Arabidopsis thaliana: one gene and its partners. The protein of the gene in region 1 purifies or fractionates together with the protein of each later gene. This does not show direct contact. Each region holds a gene or a part of one and is shown in the gene's direction. Other genes may lie near its edges.

Region 1 (5,314 bases):
AAAGAATACATTCAACTGGAAAGTACATACAATTGCTGAAGACTTGGATTACAAGTGTACAACATGCACCTCAAGATCAGAAGTTCAAAGTCTTAATGATGGAAACAAGACTAAATTAGTATATGCTCTGGTTTCTGGTCAGAAAAATTAATGAAAGACCATATTTATTTTAGTGACCAAAGAAAAATACTATATATGTGGTAGCACTAACTCACTGAATACCACTAAATCGTGTATAACGACATTAATATAAGCTATTAAAGACGGTTACAAATCTGCACAAAACTTGATTTGTCTTAAAACTCAGTTGATGTTATTTGCATTCGCAAATGCAAATTTCATTTAAAAAATAATGTAGCAGATTGAGATATCAGACTTCGTATTATACTACAGATGTAGTAGCTGAAGATTCAGTTACGTTATCCAACATGAAAAAAGTACAAAGAGTTGTTTGGATTTTAAAATCAGAATAACAAAATTGTTTCCTTTCATCTAATACTTAAAGGATAAAATTGAATATGTAAGAGTTTTTGCAGATATAATAACACTGTGTTACTGATCTCATACCCATAAATTACTTCAAGGGACATAACTCCAAAAATATATTTTGCTGACTGCAGAGATAAGGGTGAAATGCAAATGTGGATTTGATGGCCAATGTGCTAAATAGCACCAATGATATTAGGAAAGGATGAACAGTAATAATTTCTGCAAAAACAGAGGAATGACCATTCGGTGTCTTTTTTGTTGTGGTCCTATTTTTGCCTCATAAGCATGGATGGTTCAAGAGAGCAAAAACTTCATTGATTTGAAGATTGAACACAAAGACAAATATGAACAGAGAAAACTATTTTTATTTCATTTTACAACGAACACCAAGAGGTAGTTGCTTATCGATTACATTCATTAAAACACAAAAACACGATCACAAACAAACTCAAGCGACTTGAACTTGTATAGTCTTTGGTTTCTTTGGCTCAGGAGGAGGAAGTTTCGGAATAGTCACTTTCAACACACCGTCATTACAAGCCGCAGAGATCTTCTCCAAATCTGCATTATCAGGTAACTGAAACTTCCTCATAAACTTCCCCATCCTCCTCTCCATCCTCACAAACTTCACACCTTCATTCTCCTTGTTGTCCCTCTGTCTTTTGCCACTCACCACAAGCACGTTCTCGTTCTCTATCTGGACCTGAATCTCATCTCCTTTGATTCCAGGCATGTCCACGGCGAAAACGTACGCATCCGGGTGCTCGATAACGTCAGCTGGTGTAGCAGCCATTGCCTTTGCGTCTCGCATGTAAGCTCTTGAAGGGTTGTTACGAGTCTTCTCGGTTTGTTCTTCAGGGGCTTCAAGCATGTCTTCGAGGATTGAAAATATTGGAAACCTTCCAAACTCCAAATCCATTCTTAGCTGTTGTGTTAACTTTCTTGCTTCTTGGCTTTTTCTTTGGTTTGATTGATTTTGATTTTGATGTAAGAAAGTATTAAATAGAAGTTGAGTTGGATAGTTCTAGAGCAATGTAGAGAGAGCGATTGTTTCGGTGTTATAGAACTTAAAAGCGCTTCTCTAACGTTCGAGAAACGTCTTGATCGTTGGAGAAGTGTAGATGGATATTTCTAGACGAATGTAGAGAAAAGCGATTGATTCGGTCAGGCCCAAGACCAATTCGTTTTCAGGCCCATATGTATTCTGTTTTGGATTTAGTAAGGATGTTAAATTTATCCGGTTTGGTACGATTTCATTCGAATTTAGTGTATAAAATTGATTGAACCGCGTCAATACGGTTGAAACGCAAACGCAGAGGATTCATGAGTCATGGCTTTTGTGAGGTGAAGTATCAATATCATCTACCTACCTATATGATCATCGGACTAAAGTGAAATGAAGTCAGCAATTTCATCGTCACTCTTCTTCAATTCGAAGAATCTTTTAAACCCTAATCCTCTTTCTCGCTTCATTTCTCTCAAATCTAACTTCCTCCCTAAATTATCTCCGAGATCGATCACTAGTCACACCTTGAAGCTCCCATCTTCGTCAACCTCAGCTTTAAGATCCATTTCCTCTTCCATGGCTTCTTCTTTCAACCCTGAACAAGCTAGAGTTCCCTCTGCTCTTCCTCTCCCAGCTCCTCCGTTGACCAAAGTTAGCTCCTTTCTTTTCATTTACCTTTGGGTTTTCAATCATTTCAGCTTTTGATTGATTTCTTCGTTCCATGGGTAATTTTGTAGTTCAACATCGGATTGTGTCAGCTATCTGTTACATCTGACAAAAAGAGAAACATCTCTCATGCTAAAAAAGCCATTGAAGAAGCTGCTTCTAAAGGAGCTAAGCTTGTTCTCTTACCCGTGAGTTTTTCTTCTTTGTATCTTAGCTCATAGCTCTTTGTGAGTTCAATTCTAATGTTCTGTTGCTCAAATGTGTAAAATTTACAAAAAGTATGAGCTAGTGGTATCGTCTCTATGGGGTTTAAAACCATTCAATGGGTTTGTTTCAGGAAATTTGGAACAGTCCGTATTCCAATGATAGTTTTCCAGTTTATGCGGAGGAGATTGATGCAGGTGGTGATGCTTCTCCTTCAACGGCAATGCTTTCTGAAGTTTCCAAACGTCTCAAGATTACAATCATTGGTGGATCTATACCAGAAAGAGTTGGAGATCGTTTGTATAACACTTGCTGTGTCTTTGGTTCCGATGGAGAGCTAAAAGCTAAGCATCGGAAGGTTAGATTTTTTGAGATTAAACTTTCATAGAAGAAATAATGAACTTTCCTCTGCTTTAGGCCATAGAATGAAAGATGCTAATCTTACTTCTAAAATCGTTGTTCATCTTTTATCATCTGTTTTTAGGATCTAATAGACTTAGAATCAGTAATTAGAATGATGTGGTAGTTATGTTCTGGTTCGAGTTCTTCCTCTATGATTCATAAGGACAAATTATGAGGCGAGATGGCCTTGACCGTTTTATGCTTATATTATCAATTCTCAGAACATCTTGTTTTTGATTGCTTGCACTTATTTGTGTTTGTACTTGTGTGTGCATACAGATACATTTATTTGATATAGACATTCCCGGGAAGATTACTTTTATGGAATCCAAAACTCTTACTGCTGGAGAGACACCAACAATCGTTGACACAGGTTATAATCTTGGTTTGCCAAATATAATTCCAGGTCATGCATAAACAATCATGTATCTTACATAAACTCATTGTGGTACTATCTAAAAATAATAATTTAGGATTAAGGATTTAAATTTCCAGTCAGATTTGGGATCTTCTTAGCTCAACAGTGAAATGATTCATTTTCATGCTGGCCTAGTGTTTATGAATAATAATGTTTTTAAGATCTTGCCAACTATTTTGACTGGGGAAATGTCTTTATTGAACAATCAAGTCATAGTAGGACCGTTCACATCACCTCTCACTTTCTAGTACTTATGAGAAATCTTTAACGCGGTGCAGCGCTTGAGAATGATAGTTTTGTTGGTTGTTGCAGATGTAGGGCGTATTGGAATAGGCATCTGTTATGATATCAGGTTCCAGGAGTTAGCTATGATATATGCTGCAAGAGGTGAGTCTTCATATCATAATGCTTTATCCAAATGGACTATCTGCTTCCTCTCTTTTTCGGGTCCATTACGTTTTAAAGAACCTCATCACCCACATGTTTACTTTAATCATATCAGGGGCTCATTTGCTGTGCTACCCGGGAGCCTTTAACATGACAACTGGACCATTGCATTGGGAATTACTACAAAGGGCCAGGTATGATTCACAGTCTACTACATTACGACTTTCTTGGCTTATTTAATCATGGGTAAATCACAATGCTCATCGATCTGTTTTGTTCCATTTCAGGGCTACGGATAATCAGGTACATGAACCAAGTTAAATACTTGTATTGATAGCCAAAAGAGAGATACAAGTTCTGACATTTCTTAATGAATTCATAGCAAACCTGCATTTTTCTTTGAGTTATCAATACAAGTATTATCTTCTGCTCTTTGGGGTTAGTTTTACTTAATTGACTGTTATCAAAGTCATGGACCGGTTAATAGAACTATGTATGCTACTTTCTCCAGTTATATGTGGCGACATGCTCACCTGCCAGAGATTCAGGAGCTGGCTACACTGCTTGGGGGCACTCAACACTCGTTGGGCCTGTAAGCACTAAACTTTTTCTGTGTTACTTGATTGATAATGAAGCTTTTAGCTGATCACTAAACTTTGAAACATATATATTATTTGACAGTTTGGAGAAGTACTAGCAACGACTGAGCATGAGGAGGCCATTATCATAGCAGAGATTGATTACTCTATCCTTGAACAACGAAGGTAATCACGGAAACACCAGAACTTTCTTGGTTTTTGATAGCGTGATCCGCTAACTGAATCTCGTTTTTTTTACCATCTTAGGACTAGCCTTCCATTGAATAGGCAGCGGCGGGGAGATCTTTACCAGCTTGTAGACGTACAGCGCTTAGACTCTAAATGAACGCAGCAGTAACTGTATATCTGAGAGATATTGCGAGTTGAGCACGATTTGGTTACTTACAACTTCATGCATGATCAGTCATTTCTCCACAACTTTGCTGAGATATGTAAAAGAATAAAAATCAAACTTTTGAGTTAAAATCGAACAAAGGCAAGTAAATTCTGCTTAGATAATGTGAACTCCACCCACTTGCCATGTGTTTGTTGTTTATAAACTTCAATGCATTCTGATAACAATGTAGACTTGTGATTCGCAATCAGAATAGCATTTGACTTTTTTATCAAAATATATACACTATTTTTGTGAATTTCTCAGTAAATGTCATTGTCTATGAAAAAAACAACTCATATCTTCATTCCACAACCATCATATTCAATATCGAGTACTTACTTAAACTAAAATTGTTATAACTGGTTCTTCAAATGTTCACACCTACTCAAAACGTTTCATCACATAACTCAAGTCAAGTCAAAGATAGCCATGGTATATTTTGCTACACATCAAGATTTGTAATATGCAATGTAATTTGTTTTAGATGAGAAGAAGAAAAGAGTATATAGAGTATGCAGATAGGTTCATCCACAAGCACAAGTGGGATATAAAAGATTTGAAAATGAAATAACATATAAACTTTTGTCAGCGGCCTCAACATGATTTGAAGATCCGTGGTTATTGTTGAATGATAAATGACCGGACGACAAAATGCAGTTACAACAGCAGAAGCCTTACAAGATTCACCACAGTGTGTAGTGGTTTCGTCTTTGGAGAAGACACGTGGACCAAGCCTATAGGGTAAAGAAAGACGTAGAGTGGTCCAT
Region 2 (3,498 bases), on another chromosome or scaffold:
TGGGGGTCTCTAGGACTGGTTTTGCTTTGTAGACATCATCTTTGAGCTTTGTTTGGGTTCGACTGAGTTCTGACATAGCTTGGTGTTATGTTACTCTGTGCAATGTTTCAGCTGTATGATGCTCAGAGGAAGGTGTGGGCGACAAAGGGTGAGGAACAAGAGGCAGGGAAGAAGGATTTCATTGAGATACTCAAGACTCTTGAATCTGAGCTTGGAGACAAACCTTACTTTAGTGGCGATGACTTTGGCTATGTAGACATTGCGTTGATTGGATTCTACACATGGTTTCCAGCATACGAGAAGTTTGCTAACTTCAGTATCGAATCTGAGGTTCCGAAACTGATTGCTTGGGTTAAGAAGTGTTTGCAGAGGGAGAGCGTGGCTAAGTCCTTGCCTGATCCTGAGAAGGTTACTGAATTCGTCTCTGAGCTCAGGAAGAAATTTGTACCTGAGTAAATATGTTTCTCTTGTCATATGGTTCGGACTTAAGATGCTCTCTGTTTTACTTTCGTGTGTTGTCTTTCTTAAATAATGCAGAGCATCTGTGAGGTGGTTTGAGTGTAGAGAATGTATGTCTTTGCTGTAGCAGATTCCTGTGTTTTCTGGATTTAATGGCTTGTCCTAGTTTTTATGCATTGTAACTATGAGTTTAATTAATGATCGTTAATCTATAATGATTATTAATTTGTTACTTTGATATGTAATTACGCCAATACGACTCTTCTACCTGACCAAGCTTATCACGCCAATGTTGCTGTAAAAGACAATAGTGCAGTTTGGCGATTAAAACCTCCAACATCGAGAATGGTAAGCCGGTCTGGATCTAATAAGCCCAAATTGGCATCCATAAGCCCAAATTGAAATTGGCATCCATAACTCCATATTGTAGTCAATTGGAAGTTATGTGGTTGATGTGATCATTAGTGTCGGTATGATCAGATTAGCCACGGGTTTAGTGTTTCTTGCCGAATTTGAATTCGGTAGATCAAATAACATTACTATGATCCGCACAGTTCATGGGATTTGAATTTGATTTACGATTACAACAACGATATTAACACAGAACTATCCTGTAATTTTTGGGATCGATTAGTAAATTTTAAAATATTATTTCAAAGGCTTTATATATATAAAGAATTTAGAGTATAAACATAGATAAAGCATTATGTATTTATAAATCTTATGCTGATATTGAAAAAATAATGGTGTATGTGATATATTTAATAGAGTGCAATACTCTCTCAATAAATTAGTATAGCTGTTATCACTCCTTGTGTAAATGCGTATTTCTTGTACATGCATGGTAAGTAGCTTGTCCTCGTATGTACCGGATTGTAATGTTTGATATCAAATCAAGGGAATCACGTGGTAAATGTACACCCACCTAACTGAGAGATAATAATACAAACAACTGTGAGTAGGTGGCCACGCCAAAAGTAGAGACTGATGCAGCAACTAAGCAAAGTATTACTTCACTCGATCAACTTTTTATTTTGTTACCTTCTTATAAATCAAGTCGATTTCTATATTGTCAAGTACTAATTCCATTCTAATCTCTTACATATACGTTTAAGGTTTGAATCAGAGCAAAAGATAATCACACTCTTTTATATTAAGTGATGTTTTCACTAGTTGCACACATATGACAATTATTTAACAAAGTTGCAAAATACATTTTAAATCGTTACGGGTAAAAGCTTACTGTTTAAAAGATTTATATATGGACCATAATATGCTTTGAAAAAAGCTGATGTGACGTAACGGGAATCAAAATCCTTTCCACATCATTTTCTTCCCCTATAAAACAACCGTCACTCACTCCTTCTCTACTATAACACACACTCGCTTGTTCACGCACAACAAAAAGCAAGAATATATACCACTTTGTGAACTTCAGAGATCCTATAGCAATGGCGAACCTACCGATTCTTTTGGATTACTGGCCAAGTATGTTCGGGATGAGGGCTAGAGTTGCGTTGCGAGAGAAAGGTGTTGAGTTTGAATACAGAGAGGAAGATTTCTCGAACAAGAGCCCTTTACTCCTCCAGAGTAATCCCATTCACAAGAAAATCCCGGTTCTGGTCCACAACGGTAAACCGGTATGTGAATCTCTTAACGTTGTCCAGTACGTCGACGAGGCTTGGCCCGAGAAGAACCCGTTCTTCCCTTCCGATCCTTACGGGAGAGCTCAGGCTCGATTCTGGGCTGATTTCGTGGACAAGAAGGTAACTAATCCCTTTTGTGCCCTAGATTTCTTAACTTGAGTCTGAAACAATGTGATTTAGGGTTATCTGAAAAAATGAGTTTGGTTCCTTCTGACATAATTCGATGTTCTGTAATGGATTCAGTTCACCGACGCCCAATTCAAGGTATGGGGGAAGAAAGGTGAGGAACAAGAAGCAGGCAAGAAGGAATTTATTGAGGCAGTGAAGATTCTTGAATCTGAGCTAGGAGATAAACCTTACTTTGGTGGAGATAGCTTTGGGTATGTAGACATTTCCTTGATTACATTCTCGAGTTGGTTCCAAGCCTATGAGAAGTTTGGTAACTTTAGCATCGAGTCAGAGAGTCCGAAACTGATCGCTTGGGCAAAGCGGTGCATGGAGAAAGAGAGTGTGTCTAAGTCTCTCCCTGACTCTGAGAAGATTGTTGCATATGCTGCTGAGTATAGGAAGAACAATCTCTGATTTGAATAATCTTGTTGTTCTCTTGTTGCTAAGCTGTGTTCTGTTTTTGTCTTTGTTTTTTTTTTTCCCCTAATAATGCGAGAGAGCCTTAGTGAATGTGTGTTGTGGTTTTTATGCATCCTAAGTATGGAATTTAAATAAAATTTGTTTCGACTTAAAGAGTCCAAGTATGAAGTCACATCCTTTTCAAAAGAACAAACACAAGAAAAAGTTGGAATTCTTTTTTCTTTTTCTACTTGTCTAGTACCGCGTATACGAAAATAGTATAACACCCAGCAATTAATAAAGTAGATGGCCACGTTACAATCATGCAAGTAGTGGCTCTGCAAACATAAGATAAAAAGAAATTGGGTTCTCAGCCACTTTTGGGAGGACATGCAGACTAAAGCACTCTCTAAACTCCGCTTAGAGGGAAAACAAAAAGACACCTCTGATCTATTATCACTATTATTAGGGTTTTTTTGTTTGTTTTTCTTTTCTTTGCTTCTTAAGAGATAATACATTGATCACTAACATAAAAGCTGGTCAGTTCCCTTACTTTGAGGCTTTGAGTGGAGACTCCACTACGGTGTGGCTCACACCAACAGTTTTTCTCTGATTATCCTTTTGTCATCAACTCACCATTCACCGAATAATATAATTTATACGTGTGATCTTTGTTTCGAAGATCAATACAATTCTATTGTAAAACATATGGTTTCGGTCATTCGATTGCTAGAAAAGAACTAGTCAAAGCTTCATATCGTTATTGCATTACTGTCATCACCATTCATAAGTTGTAAGAAGAATAGCAAAGAGGAAAATTTGTATT
Region 3 (6,607 bases), on another chromosome or scaffold:
AGACTCTATCAGGAAGATGTAACACATGTCAACACTCGTGTTGCAGGAACCAAGTATGCTCTCTCTATTGTTTACCCTTAAAAAGCTCATTTACATATCTTCTTGTGTCATTTGAACTCTTTTTGTTTGTTGGTGTTTCATGGTAGAATGTTATTTAACGTCCATTGCTTCTTCTTTTCTTATGCGCAGTGGTTATATGGCGCCAGAGTACGTAATGCACGGGGTTCTATCGGTAAAGGCAGACGTATTCAGCTTTGGGGTTTTGGTTCTGGAGCTCGTAAGTGGACAGAAGAACTCGAGTTTTAGCATGAGACACCCTGACCAGACTCTTCTTGAATGGGTAAAGCCTCTAGTCTCATGCTCCATTGTTTATAGGGTTGTTGTGTGATGGCCTGACCCAGCCAATATTCTTCAGCGTAATATAACCAATGCTAAATTCTTTCTGAATGTGACACAGGCATTTAAGTTGTACAAGAAAGGCCGGACCATGGAGATACTAGACCAAGATATAGCAGCTTCAGCTGATCCAGATCAAGTCAAACTCTGTGTACAGATCGGACTACTCTGCGTTCAAGGCGATCCGCATCAAAGACCGAGCATGAGACGGGTATCTCTACTTCTCTCTAGAAAACCAGGACATCTAGAAGAACCGGATCATCCTGGTGTCCCGGGATCTAGATACCGTCGGCGAACACAACGTCCTTCAGGAGCAGCATCACTTGGAACATTGTCGACCACTGGTTCCAGCACAGATTCTTTCGGTTCAAACCTGAACACAAACACGGGAACTGGTGTTAGAGGTACCCCCGCATCTTCTAAAGCTTCAACTCGGAGTAATGCCACTAGAAGTGCTGGTCAGAGCTCTAGCTCAGACCCTCACGGGAAACGACATATGAGTTATTGAAGTACATAAAATCTGGTCATAGGTGATTGTAAATAGCGAGCTGCATATATAATATTTGTTTCATAATTTATTTAATTTTGCTTTTGAAAAGTAAATTAATTTATTTTTTTGACTGCAGTAGTGATTTAGTTTTGTAGTATGATTTGTTATATTAGCGGGAAAAAATTATGATTCATTTGTTACATTTGTATATTAGAATAATCACTTGTAGTCCCATTATCTAGGTCCCCACTATTGGCCTCGTACGTATAAAAGCATATTCTCTTGTACGTATTAACGGTACCTTACTTTAAACAAAACATAAAACTAAAATGTTTTTTATGCGTTTTAAATTATTTTTCAGTTAAAATTTATAAAAAGGGTTTTTGTAAACAATTATTTTGATAGTAAAAGAAATACTAACTGAAATTAGTGGAGAAAATACACAAACATATATTTAACTTTCTTTAATTTAAAATATACAGATTTTGTTTCTTTAATTTTTTTTTTCAAATTTTAGTTTTCATTTATTTTTAAATAAAGTATGACATGTCATAATGTTGTATTTTGATTTGTCATTAAAAAGGGGGTGAATCAAATTGGTTCACTCTAGAGGTGAACTTCGCCAAAGAATCACAGACCGTCAGTGTTAATCATCAGAGACATCAACGTAATGTTCCTCTTGGTTACTTCTTGCTTTAATGTTCCTCTTGGTTACTTCTTGCTTTCTACCTGATTCAGGTTCTTCAGTTAAAGTTTCTCTTTTCATTTTTGGGGTAATGCCCGGTTGGGCCTCGTTGTTTTATTTAGGTTCTAGTTCTAGGGCCTGCGTGTCCTTTTAGGCAGTTATTGCCATGTATGTTCTTTGGGCCATTCGTGCCTCTGTCGGCTTGTTGGGCCTTGTAATCGTTTCGGCTCTATTGGAAATTAAAAATAAAATATATATACTAACCCGTTTTGGGTAAAAAGTTAGGTCCACTAAAAGACGAAAAGAGATCCTACCAAAAAAAAAAACGAAAAGAGACGAGCCACACGCGTCACCTTCTCGTTTAGCCTCTTCATCTCCTTTCCTCAGACTCACTGTGTAAAAAGGCTTTTATTTTATCATCTTCAGGCTTATTCGATTTTCTTCAGATTTGAAATGGTGTCGTTCAAGGTCTCTCTCGTCTCTACTTCGCCTATTGATGGCCAGAAACCTGGGACTTCTGGACTCCGTAAGAAGGTTCGTTCGCTTTCGCTTCTTCTCCTTGTTATATCAATCCCCGCGTTCTTATTTCGAAATTGGATTAGAGATTTGAATTCTAAATTCAGATCTTCGCAACGAAATTGATTTCTTCATTTAGTTCCGATCTTATGGATTGAATGAATTTTGTGTGTTGGTTTTAACAATTTGATCCGATCCGATGAGATTTGAATTTACGCATTGTTTCGTAATTTTACAGGTGAAAGTGTTTAAGCAACCAAATTACCTTGAAAATTTTGTCCAGGCAACGTTCAATGCTCTTACTACAGAGAAAGTTAAAGGTAAAGATCTCTCTTACCTCTCTTTGATTGTTGTTCAGGTAAAGGTCGATGATTGCAAATTCCATCTAAGAAAGAGTATTTGTTAACTTTTTCAGGTGCGACACTTGTGGTTTCTGGTGATGGTCGTTATTATTCAGAGCAAGCTATTCAGGTAAAAGCTTTATATGTCCTTTGAATGATGGCAAACTGCGTTTTGCATTAACTTATAATTCTTAGACACTTTACTCTTATTTTAGTTGTTTTGAATCTTTTATTTCATAAAAAAGATAGTTCGTCAATACCACTTTATTTCCTATCTGGACAGATTATAGTAAAGATGGCAGCAGCTAATGGTGTTAGACGTGTGTGGGTTGGTCAAAACAGTCTGCTATCAACTCCTGCAGTATCAGCTATTATTCGTGAAAGAGTAGGGGCTGATGTGAGATATCTTCCTCTAAACTCATACTACTTACTTTTCTCTTGGGTTGTTATCTAAGGCTATGCATGTTTGCAACATGTAATGACGTGATGAGAAACTAACCCGAGATCCAATTTCAGGGATCTAAAGCCACAGGAGCATTTATCTTAACAGCAAGTCATAATCCTGGTGGCCCAACTGAGGTCAGTTCTCTTTTTGTTCTCACTCTTTTGTGCTTGTTCATTCGATACCCTCACTTAGTATTATTTGAATCCTAGCATCAGTTTTGTTAAACTATATGTTCATCTCTCTGCTTCCATATGCTGATTTCCTGCTATTCTATTCACAGGATTTCGGAATTAAGTACAATATGGAAAATGGTGGACCAGCTCCTGAATCAATCACTGATAAGATTTACGAGAACACAAAGACAATCAAGGAGTACCCAATAGCGGAAGATCTACCCAGGGTACCTAACATTTCTGATCTTATTACCTGTCATCATCTTTTTTTCATCTTGTATTTGTACTAATCATGTTTTTTTGCTGGTCTTTTTGATTGAATGCAACAGGTTGATATTTCTACTATTGGTATAACCAGCTTTGAAGGACCTGAAGGAAAGTTTGACGTCGAAGTTTTTGATTCTGCAGATGACTATGTTAAACTAATGAAGTAAGTCTTTCCATCTTTGTATCTGAGAGAACAGTTCTTGAATCTACTCCCTCTATGGTCTATGCATTTAAGAGAATGGTTCCAGAATCTGCGGTATCGATGATCTAAAAGATTTGTTCGTCTCTTCAGGTCAATCTTCGACTTTGAATCCATCAAGAAATTGCTATCTTATCCAAAATTTACTTTCTGGTATATAGTTCATCAACATCCATAAATCTTTTCTTTTGAGTTTGTTTGCTTGTATAGGCTCCATCATGTCTTTGATATTTTATTTCCCATCGTTCTATGAAGCTATGATGCATTGCATGGAGTGGCTGGAGCATATGCACATCGCATCTTTGTCGAAGAACTAGGTGCACCAGAAAGTTCGTTGTTGAACTGCGTACCCAAGGTATCATTTTTTTCTTCTTTCTTATTTTGTATAACCAAGAAATATCATTTCCTGAAAGGATTATAAATACACGTTGAACAGTGTCTTTTATGATTTATAACAACACGACAATCGGACAATGTACAGGAGGACTTTGGAGGGGGCCACCCGGATCCCAATCTTACCTATGCTAAGGAGCTCGTGGCACGCATGGGATTGAGTAAAACTGATGATGCTGGTGGCGAGCCTCCAGAGTTTGGCGCCGCTGCTGATGGTGATGCAGACCGAAACATGATCCTCGGTAAAAGGTAGCAGAGACTAATTCTCTTTTAAGTGAGATCACAGAGATGTGGAGCGGATATACCACTCTCCCCGTTAACCAAAAATATCTCTTCTCCGCAGGTTTTTCGTAACTCCTTCGGATTCAGTTGCTATAATTGCTGCAAATGCTGTTGGGGCCATACCATACTTCAGCTCTGGTTTAAAAGGTGTTGCTAGGTATGCATCCCGGTTCTTCTTTGTTTACTCCAGTTCATAGATTGAAAACGCTGGACTTTGGTGTCATACGTTTTTGTTTATTATAGATAGTAACAATCTTTTCTCATTAAATTCTCAACTTTCACATTCGTATTGCAGGAGCATGCCGACCTCAGCTGCACTTGATGTCGTTGCAAAAAACTTGGGTTTGAAGTTCTTTGAGGTAGATGTCATTGTGAAGCTTTTCTCTAGCTTCTATTCATTGCAATCACGTAACATAGTCTATTGCTCTAATACTTCTATATTTTAGGTTCCAACAGGCTGGAAATTCTTTGGCAATCTAATGGATGCTGGGATGTGCTCTGTATGCGGAGAAGAAAGTTTTGGAACCGGTGAGCTTCTATTGCTAGATCTTCACATGTTTTAAAACCGTAACAACCCTACACAACTCACAAAGAAGCTTTTCGACAGGTTCGGATCATATCCGTGAGAAAGATGGGATCTGGGCAGTTCTTGCTTGGCTATCAATACTGGCTCACAAGAACAAGGAAACCCTTGATGGGAATGCAAAACTGGTGACGGTTGAAGACATTGTCCGCCAGCACTGGGCTACATATGGCCGTCACTATTACACTCGATACGACTATGAGGTAAAACTGACAAATGTCATTATTGGTTGTAGACAATATGTAGAATAACCAATTACCTTTGACCAATTTCTAAATATTTGCTCCATAGAACGTAGACGCAACTGCAGCTAAAGAACTCATGGGACTTTTGGTTAAGTTGCAATCTTCACTTCCCGAAGTCAACAAGTATCTCTCTCTCCACTTAATTTCAAATCCATTCCTTTTTACTTGTATGACTTTCAGACTCACGTTTTTGGATAATTGGTCAGGATTATAAAGGGAATTCATCCAGAGGTGGCAAATGTTGCAAGCGCAGATGAGTTCGAGTACAAAGATCCAGTAGATGGCTCTGTTTCAAAGCACCAAGGGATCCGATACTTATTCGAGGATGGATCACGACTTGTAAGTCGATATGTGTGAAATGGATTCATAACAATTCAACAACCTGTGAAATTGTAAAAGCTAATCCGGGCTTGTTTCTCTTGTTCATGAAGGTGTTCCGTCTCTCGGGAACTGGCTCAGAAGGAGCAACAATAAGGCTATACATTGAACAATACGAGAAGGACGCCTCAAAGATCGGCCGAGATTCTCAGGATGCTCTTGGTCCCCTGGTCAGATTCCCAGATACCTTAATTACTCCCAAATTTACGCATAATCGATCTTTGTCATGTTTATTAACACCAATTGTTGGTGTCTGATTTTCACAGGTTGATGTTGCATTAAAGCTGTCGAAAATGCAAGAGTTCACCGGCCGATCATCACCAACTGTTATTACATAAGACAGCTTTCAGAAGACGCTGTCTCCAATACTACTCTCATTCCAACTTCATTTCTTATGAATTTGGGTTTTGCTTTTTTCCTGTTATCTGTTATCTTACACAAGTATACTTCAATACATATAATTTTAATGGAATATACATTAGGTTGGCAATTGAATTTCTAGCTTTGTTTGGCTCCTCCAAATAAAAAAGAATTGCCACAATATTGGAGCATGTGTGGCAGATGGAGACGTAGCAAGAGTAAAAAGCGAATCCAACAATAACTGATACCTAAAACCTACGGTGTACAACTATAGATAATGGACCCGAGAGGTGGTGATGACAAGCCAGAAGACAGATGTTTATAATTTGTCTCTTGAGCTTGACCAACAAAAACATTCTGACAGTTAAAAGCTAATGTTGGGCATGAATTTCGTGAATCAGATTGTGCCATGTGTTAGTTTGTATAAGTGAGTCAGGGTTCACGGGTTCTTTCTTATTTGGTTTTTAAATCCAAAAGAAAGAGAGGCATCATTACCATCCAAACACTCCTCCCACTTTAGGCTTTCTTCCTCTGTCCTTTCTCCATATTTGTTGTCTTCTACTAAACTTTTGTCTCAACAATGACTGATGCTTTAGCTAACCATCAACATTGTAACATACAGTTGATGGTTAGCTATTTGCTATACATTTGTCTATTTCTCTTGCTTCTATAGTCAAAGTATAGAGTTAGCTCGTATAAAAAGATCAGCATTTAAGTATAAAAAAAATTAGAATGATTTTATGTATAGTATTGTCTAACTTTAGGTGAAATCACAACTGATTATAGAATCCTCGAAGAAAAATATTAAAAAATCAAAAGGCTTAATATTAGCATTTTCTTATGCAGAAATGCTT
Region 4 (3,354 bases), on another chromosome or scaffold:
GAGTCTCTTGTGTAAGTTTTTTGTTTTTACCAACGGATCAGGTGAATGTTACGGCGAGAAGGATTTGGGCGGTCAAAGGTGAGGAGCAAGAAGCAGCCAAGGAGTTAATCGAAATACTCAAGACGCTAGAGTCTGAGCTTGGAGACAAAAAGTACTTTGGAGACGAAACTTTTGGGTATGTAGATATAGCTCTCATTGGATTCCATAGCTGGTTTGCAGTGTACGAGAAGTTTGGAAATGTCAGTATCGAATCTGAGTGTTCGAAATTGGTTGCGTGGGCCAAAAGGTGTTTGGAGAGAGAGAGCGTCGCTAAAGCCCTGCCTGAGTCAGAGAAGGTCATTACATTCATTTCCGAACGTAGGAAGAAACTTGGGTTGGAGTAAATCTCTACTTTGTTATGTTGATCTGTTGTTGCTTTGTTCTATTTTCTTTGAGGTCTATGTAATGCATAATAATACCAATTTCAATTTGTGAGATTATATTTCCCTTTATGTAAACTCGATTTCAATAAAAGAAACTTTGTTGTGATGTTCATTCAATGGAGAATTGTTGGTACATTAATCTGGTTGCCATAACGGCGCTTGCTCTAATACCAAAATCGACGTAAATATATGATAAAGATTAAATTCGTTGATTCAATGAATAACCTCACATGTGAACAAGATTTGACGATCGTGATTCAAAAAATATGATTAACTTAGTTAAATAACCAGGAGAAATGCTAAACCGGTCGAAAAGAAGAATACAAGAATGAAACAAACTAAGTGAAAACTTTGAGCCAAAGAAAAAAAAACTGAAGTGAAACTAAACCGATTAGCAAACCCCGATTAAGAACTTTTTAACCAGACACATCTAAAAATCGTTGGATATTTGGCCCAAAGATAAGTCATTTAATCATTTGATTTTTGAAGTATTGGAAAAAATGTTAAAAGCAAATAGTTATTATATCTTACCATGCAAACTCATTCTACACCGTTTATTTGTTTAATCGTTTATTGGTTATTTTATTTTTGTCGTTAGATGCACAAAAGATACAAGAATGGGGACAATGTGAAATGGGAAATGGATGCCAAACACATATAATGAGATATGCATATACTCTATATTTTTAAAAAAGAGGTATGTATAATTGTATATTAATCAATTTTATTAGGTTTCAGACAGCTAAAATTTGTTTTTTTGTTTTTTTTTCGTCATCCTTAAAGTAAATATAGTCCTAACCAAAGAAAAGTAACCAATAAAAAGTTTGGAAAAAGTGAAGGTAAAAAGGTATGATGGCGTAAGCAGTGGCATAATCAATTCAACTCTGTGAATCATGTGGTCAATGTCTTGAACCGCAAAACATTAATAAATGAGTTGTTCAACTAAATAATTGTATACTACTCGTTACCAATCTCTAGGTTTAAGCTTTCTGATTTAAAATTTGTCACATAAATTTTACACCAAAATATTTATTAATTCCACATTTTAATATAAAGTACGAGAAACTTTACACGAGAAGAAATCAACATGAAATTTCAACATATAAATTACAAACCCCCTTGATAGTTTTTTTTTGGTATGTATAACCCCTTGATAGTTGATATACTCATATTCAATAACACAAAGTATTGAAGCTAAATAATCTCTGACGACTTTTAAACTAAAGCTAATGAAAAGAAAATGTTTAATCAAAAGTTTATTCCCTTCATATTAAAATGCTTTAGTGCGATGAGATTTAGTGTAATGGGCACGTTAATGCATTTCTGACTTTAGCGGCAAGCAAATGCGATTTCGTTTGTAGTTTTGAGTTATTGTCTCCTCTATAAATTGACCAAAACCTTGTTCTCTTCACCATAATATACTTAGACACAAAACAAACAAACAAAAATATCTTAGTGAGCTTAATCAAGAACAGCAATGGCAGACGAGGTGATTCTTCTTGATTTCTGGCCGAGCATGTTTGGAATGAGGACGAGGATTGCTTTAGAAGAGAAAAATGTCAAATTCGATTACAGAGAACAAGATCTGTGGAACAAAAGCCCGATTCTCCTCGAGATGAATCCGGTTCATAAGAAAATACCGGTTCTCATCCACAATGGTAATCCGGTATGTGAATCACTCATCCAGATCGAATACATCGACGAAGTTTGGCCTAGCAAAACCCCACTTCTTCCTTCTGATCCTTACCAAAGAGCTCAGGCCAAATTTTGGGGAGATTTCATTGATAAGAAGGTAATCTATCTTCCAAAAATAAGCTTAAAAATCAAACCCTTCTTAGGCAAGACATAGACGTTAATATTTCGTATAATGTGCTTAGGTGTATGCTTCAGCGAGGTTGATTTGGGGAGCTAAAGGCGAAGAGCATGAGGCGGGGAAGAAGGAGTTCATCGAGATACTCAAGACACTAGAGTCTGAGCTTGGAGACAAGACTTACTTTGGAGGTGAAACATTCGGTTATGTTGATATAGCTCTCATTGGATTTTACAGTTGGTTTGAAGCGTATGAGAAGTTTGGGAGTTTCAGCATTGAAGCCGAGTGTCCAAAACTGATTGCTTGGGGTAAAAGGTGTGTGGAGAGAGAGAGTGTGGCTAAGTCTCTTCCTGATTCGGAGAAGATCATTAAGTTCGTTCCTGAGCTAAGGAAAAAACTTGGGATCGAAATCGAATAGATTCTACGCTGATATGTTTTTATGTTTCTGTTTGTGTTGCTGTTTCTGCTCTGTTTCATGTTCTGTTTCTTCCTTGTTTCGGAAATCTTTAAGATAATGTCATCAAAATAATACAAATATTTACTTGAAAATTCGGTTGGGGTGGTTAAGCATGCGTAATACGTTGCATTAGCTTCAATTTTTTAGATCTTCATTGCGATGATAAGTCTAGTAAACCGAATTAAACCAGTACCAAGAAAATCCAATCCAAAATCTAAAACAATCGATTTGTTTTATTTTTTCTTTCCCCTTACTAATTACTATTATAGTATTATCAAAACAAAGCGTCAAAGAAAAAAAAAACTAACAAACCGACTACATTGTTGATTTTATTAAAATAGATTTTGGTGGAGTGCCAAATCTGAATAAATTATCGAGGCTGTACTAAACCAAAACTAATGAGTAATGACAATTACAATTTGTAATCTTTGTTTGATAGTCATAGACCAAATCAACTAATTTCAAACATTGGACTGAATCCTTTATAATATAGCCCATCCGAATATCCAAAACATAATGGGCTTTTGGGCCCAAAAACAAAATCAGTGTGTTGAGTTTAGCCGTGATAGTCTATTTACTTGGGTCTTAGTGGGCTTTAAAGTTTAATTGTACTATTATATTTTTCGAACCAATAATTGGAATCGAATCTGGAGGAAAACAAGTTT

The links.
Region 2: the proteins of AT5G12040 (region 1) and GSTU20 fractionate together in Arabidopsis thaliana (co-fractionation; one large-scale study listed by BioGRID). This does not show direct contact.
Region 3: the proteins of AT5G12040 (region 1) and PGM2 fractionate together in Arabidopsis thaliana (co-fractionation; one large-scale study listed by BioGRID). This does not show direct contact.
Region 4: the proteins of AT5G12040 (region 1) and GSTU25 fractionate together in Arabidopsis thaliana (co-fractionation; one large-scale study listed by BioGRID). This does not show direct contact.

The regions. Positions count from the first base shown.
Region 1 is NC_003076.8:3,883,277-3,888,590, forward strand, and holds AT5G12040 (Nitrilase/cyanide hydratase and apolipoprotein N-acyltransferase family protein), read left to right. Parts: upstream 1-1,672; 5' UTR 1,673-1,885; coding exon 1,886-2,146; intron 2,147-2,232; coding exon 2,233-2,349; intron 2,350-2,498; coding exon 2,499-2,723; intron 2,724-3,046; coding exon 3,047-3,140; intron 3,141-3,497; coding exon 3,498-3,572; intron 3,573-3,687; coding exon 3,688-3,766; intron 3,767-3,859; coding exon 3,860-3,875; coding exon of another isoform or gene 3,876-3,893; exon of another isoform or gene 3,894-4,083; coding exon 4,084-4,164; intron 4,165-4,253; coding exon 4,254-4,336; intron 4,337-4,417; coding exon 4,418-4,496; 3' UTR 4,497-4,801; downstream 4,802-5,314. Other genes in the region: HSP17.6A (heat shock protein 17.6A), read right to left, coding at 938-1,408. UniProt on the Arabidopsis thaliana protein: Omega-amidase involved in the metabolism of asparagine. Probably also closely coupled with glutamine transamination in the methionine salvage cycle.
Region 2 is NC_003070.9:29,483,617-29,487,114, reverse strand, and holds GSTU20 (glutathione S-transferase TAU 20), read left to right. Parts: upstream 1-1,725; 5' UTR 1,726-1,910; coding exon 1,911-2,225; intron 2,226-2,348; coding exon 2,349-2,687; 3' UTR 2,688-2,995; downstream 2,996-3,498. Other genes in the region: GSTU19 (glutathione S-transferase TAU 19), read left to right, coding at 112-456. UniProt on the Arabidopsis thaliana protein: Exhibits glutathione-dependent thiol transferase activities. Can use glutathione (GSH) and 1-chloro-2,4-dinitrobenzene (CDNB) as substrates. Involved in the regulation of far-red light influence on development.
Region 3 is NC_003070.9:26,668,144-26,674,750, reverse strand, and holds PGM2 (Phosphoglucomutase/phosphomannomutase family protein), read left to right. Parts: upstream 1-1,584; coding exon 1,585-1,659; intron 1,660-1,868; coding exon 1,869-2,105; intron 2,106-2,325; coding exon 2,326-2,407; intron 2,408-2,502; coding exon 2,503-2,558; intron 2,559-2,711; coding exon 2,712-2,825; intron 2,826-2,944; coding exon 2,945-3,007; intron 3,008-3,153; coding exon 3,154-3,273; intron 3,274-3,375; coding exon 3,376-3,476; intron 3,477-3,605; coding exon 3,606-3,665; intron 3,666-3,767; coding exon 3,768-3,867; intron 3,868-3,993; coding exon 3,994-4,154; intron 4,155-4,248; coding exon 4,249-4,344; intron 4,345-4,482; coding exon 4,483-4,546; intron 4,547-4,633; coding exon 4,634-4,715; intron 4,716-4,794; coding exon 4,795-4,973; intron 4,974-5,061; coding exon 5,062-5,138; intron 5,139-5,221; coding exon 5,222-5,354; intron 5,355-5,446; coding exon 5,447-5,563; intron 5,564-5,659; coding exon 5,660-5,731; 3' UTR 5,732-6,105; downstream 6,106-6,607. Other genes in the region: AT1G70740 (Protein kinase superfamily protein), read left to right, coding at 1-53, 190-376, 458-904. UniProt on the Arabidopsis thaliana protein: Catalyzes the reversible isomerization of alpha-D-glucose 1-phosphate to alpha-D-glucose 6-phosphate. The mechanism proceeds via the intermediate compound alpha-D-glucose 1,6-bisphosphate.
Region 4 is NC_003070.9:5,870,309-5,873,662, forward strand, and holds GSTU25 (glutathione S-transferase TAU 25), read left to right. Parts: upstream 1-1,715; 5' UTR 1,716-1,899; coding exon 1,900-2,214; intron 2,215-2,299; coding exon 2,300-2,650; 3' UTR 2,651-2,816; downstream 2,817-3,354. Other genes in the region: GSTU24 (glutathione S-transferase TAU 24), read left to right, coding at 42-383. UniProt on the Arabidopsis thaliana protein: May be involved in the conjugation of reduced glutathione to a wide number of exogenous and endogenous hydrophobic electrophiles and have a detoxification role against certain herbicides.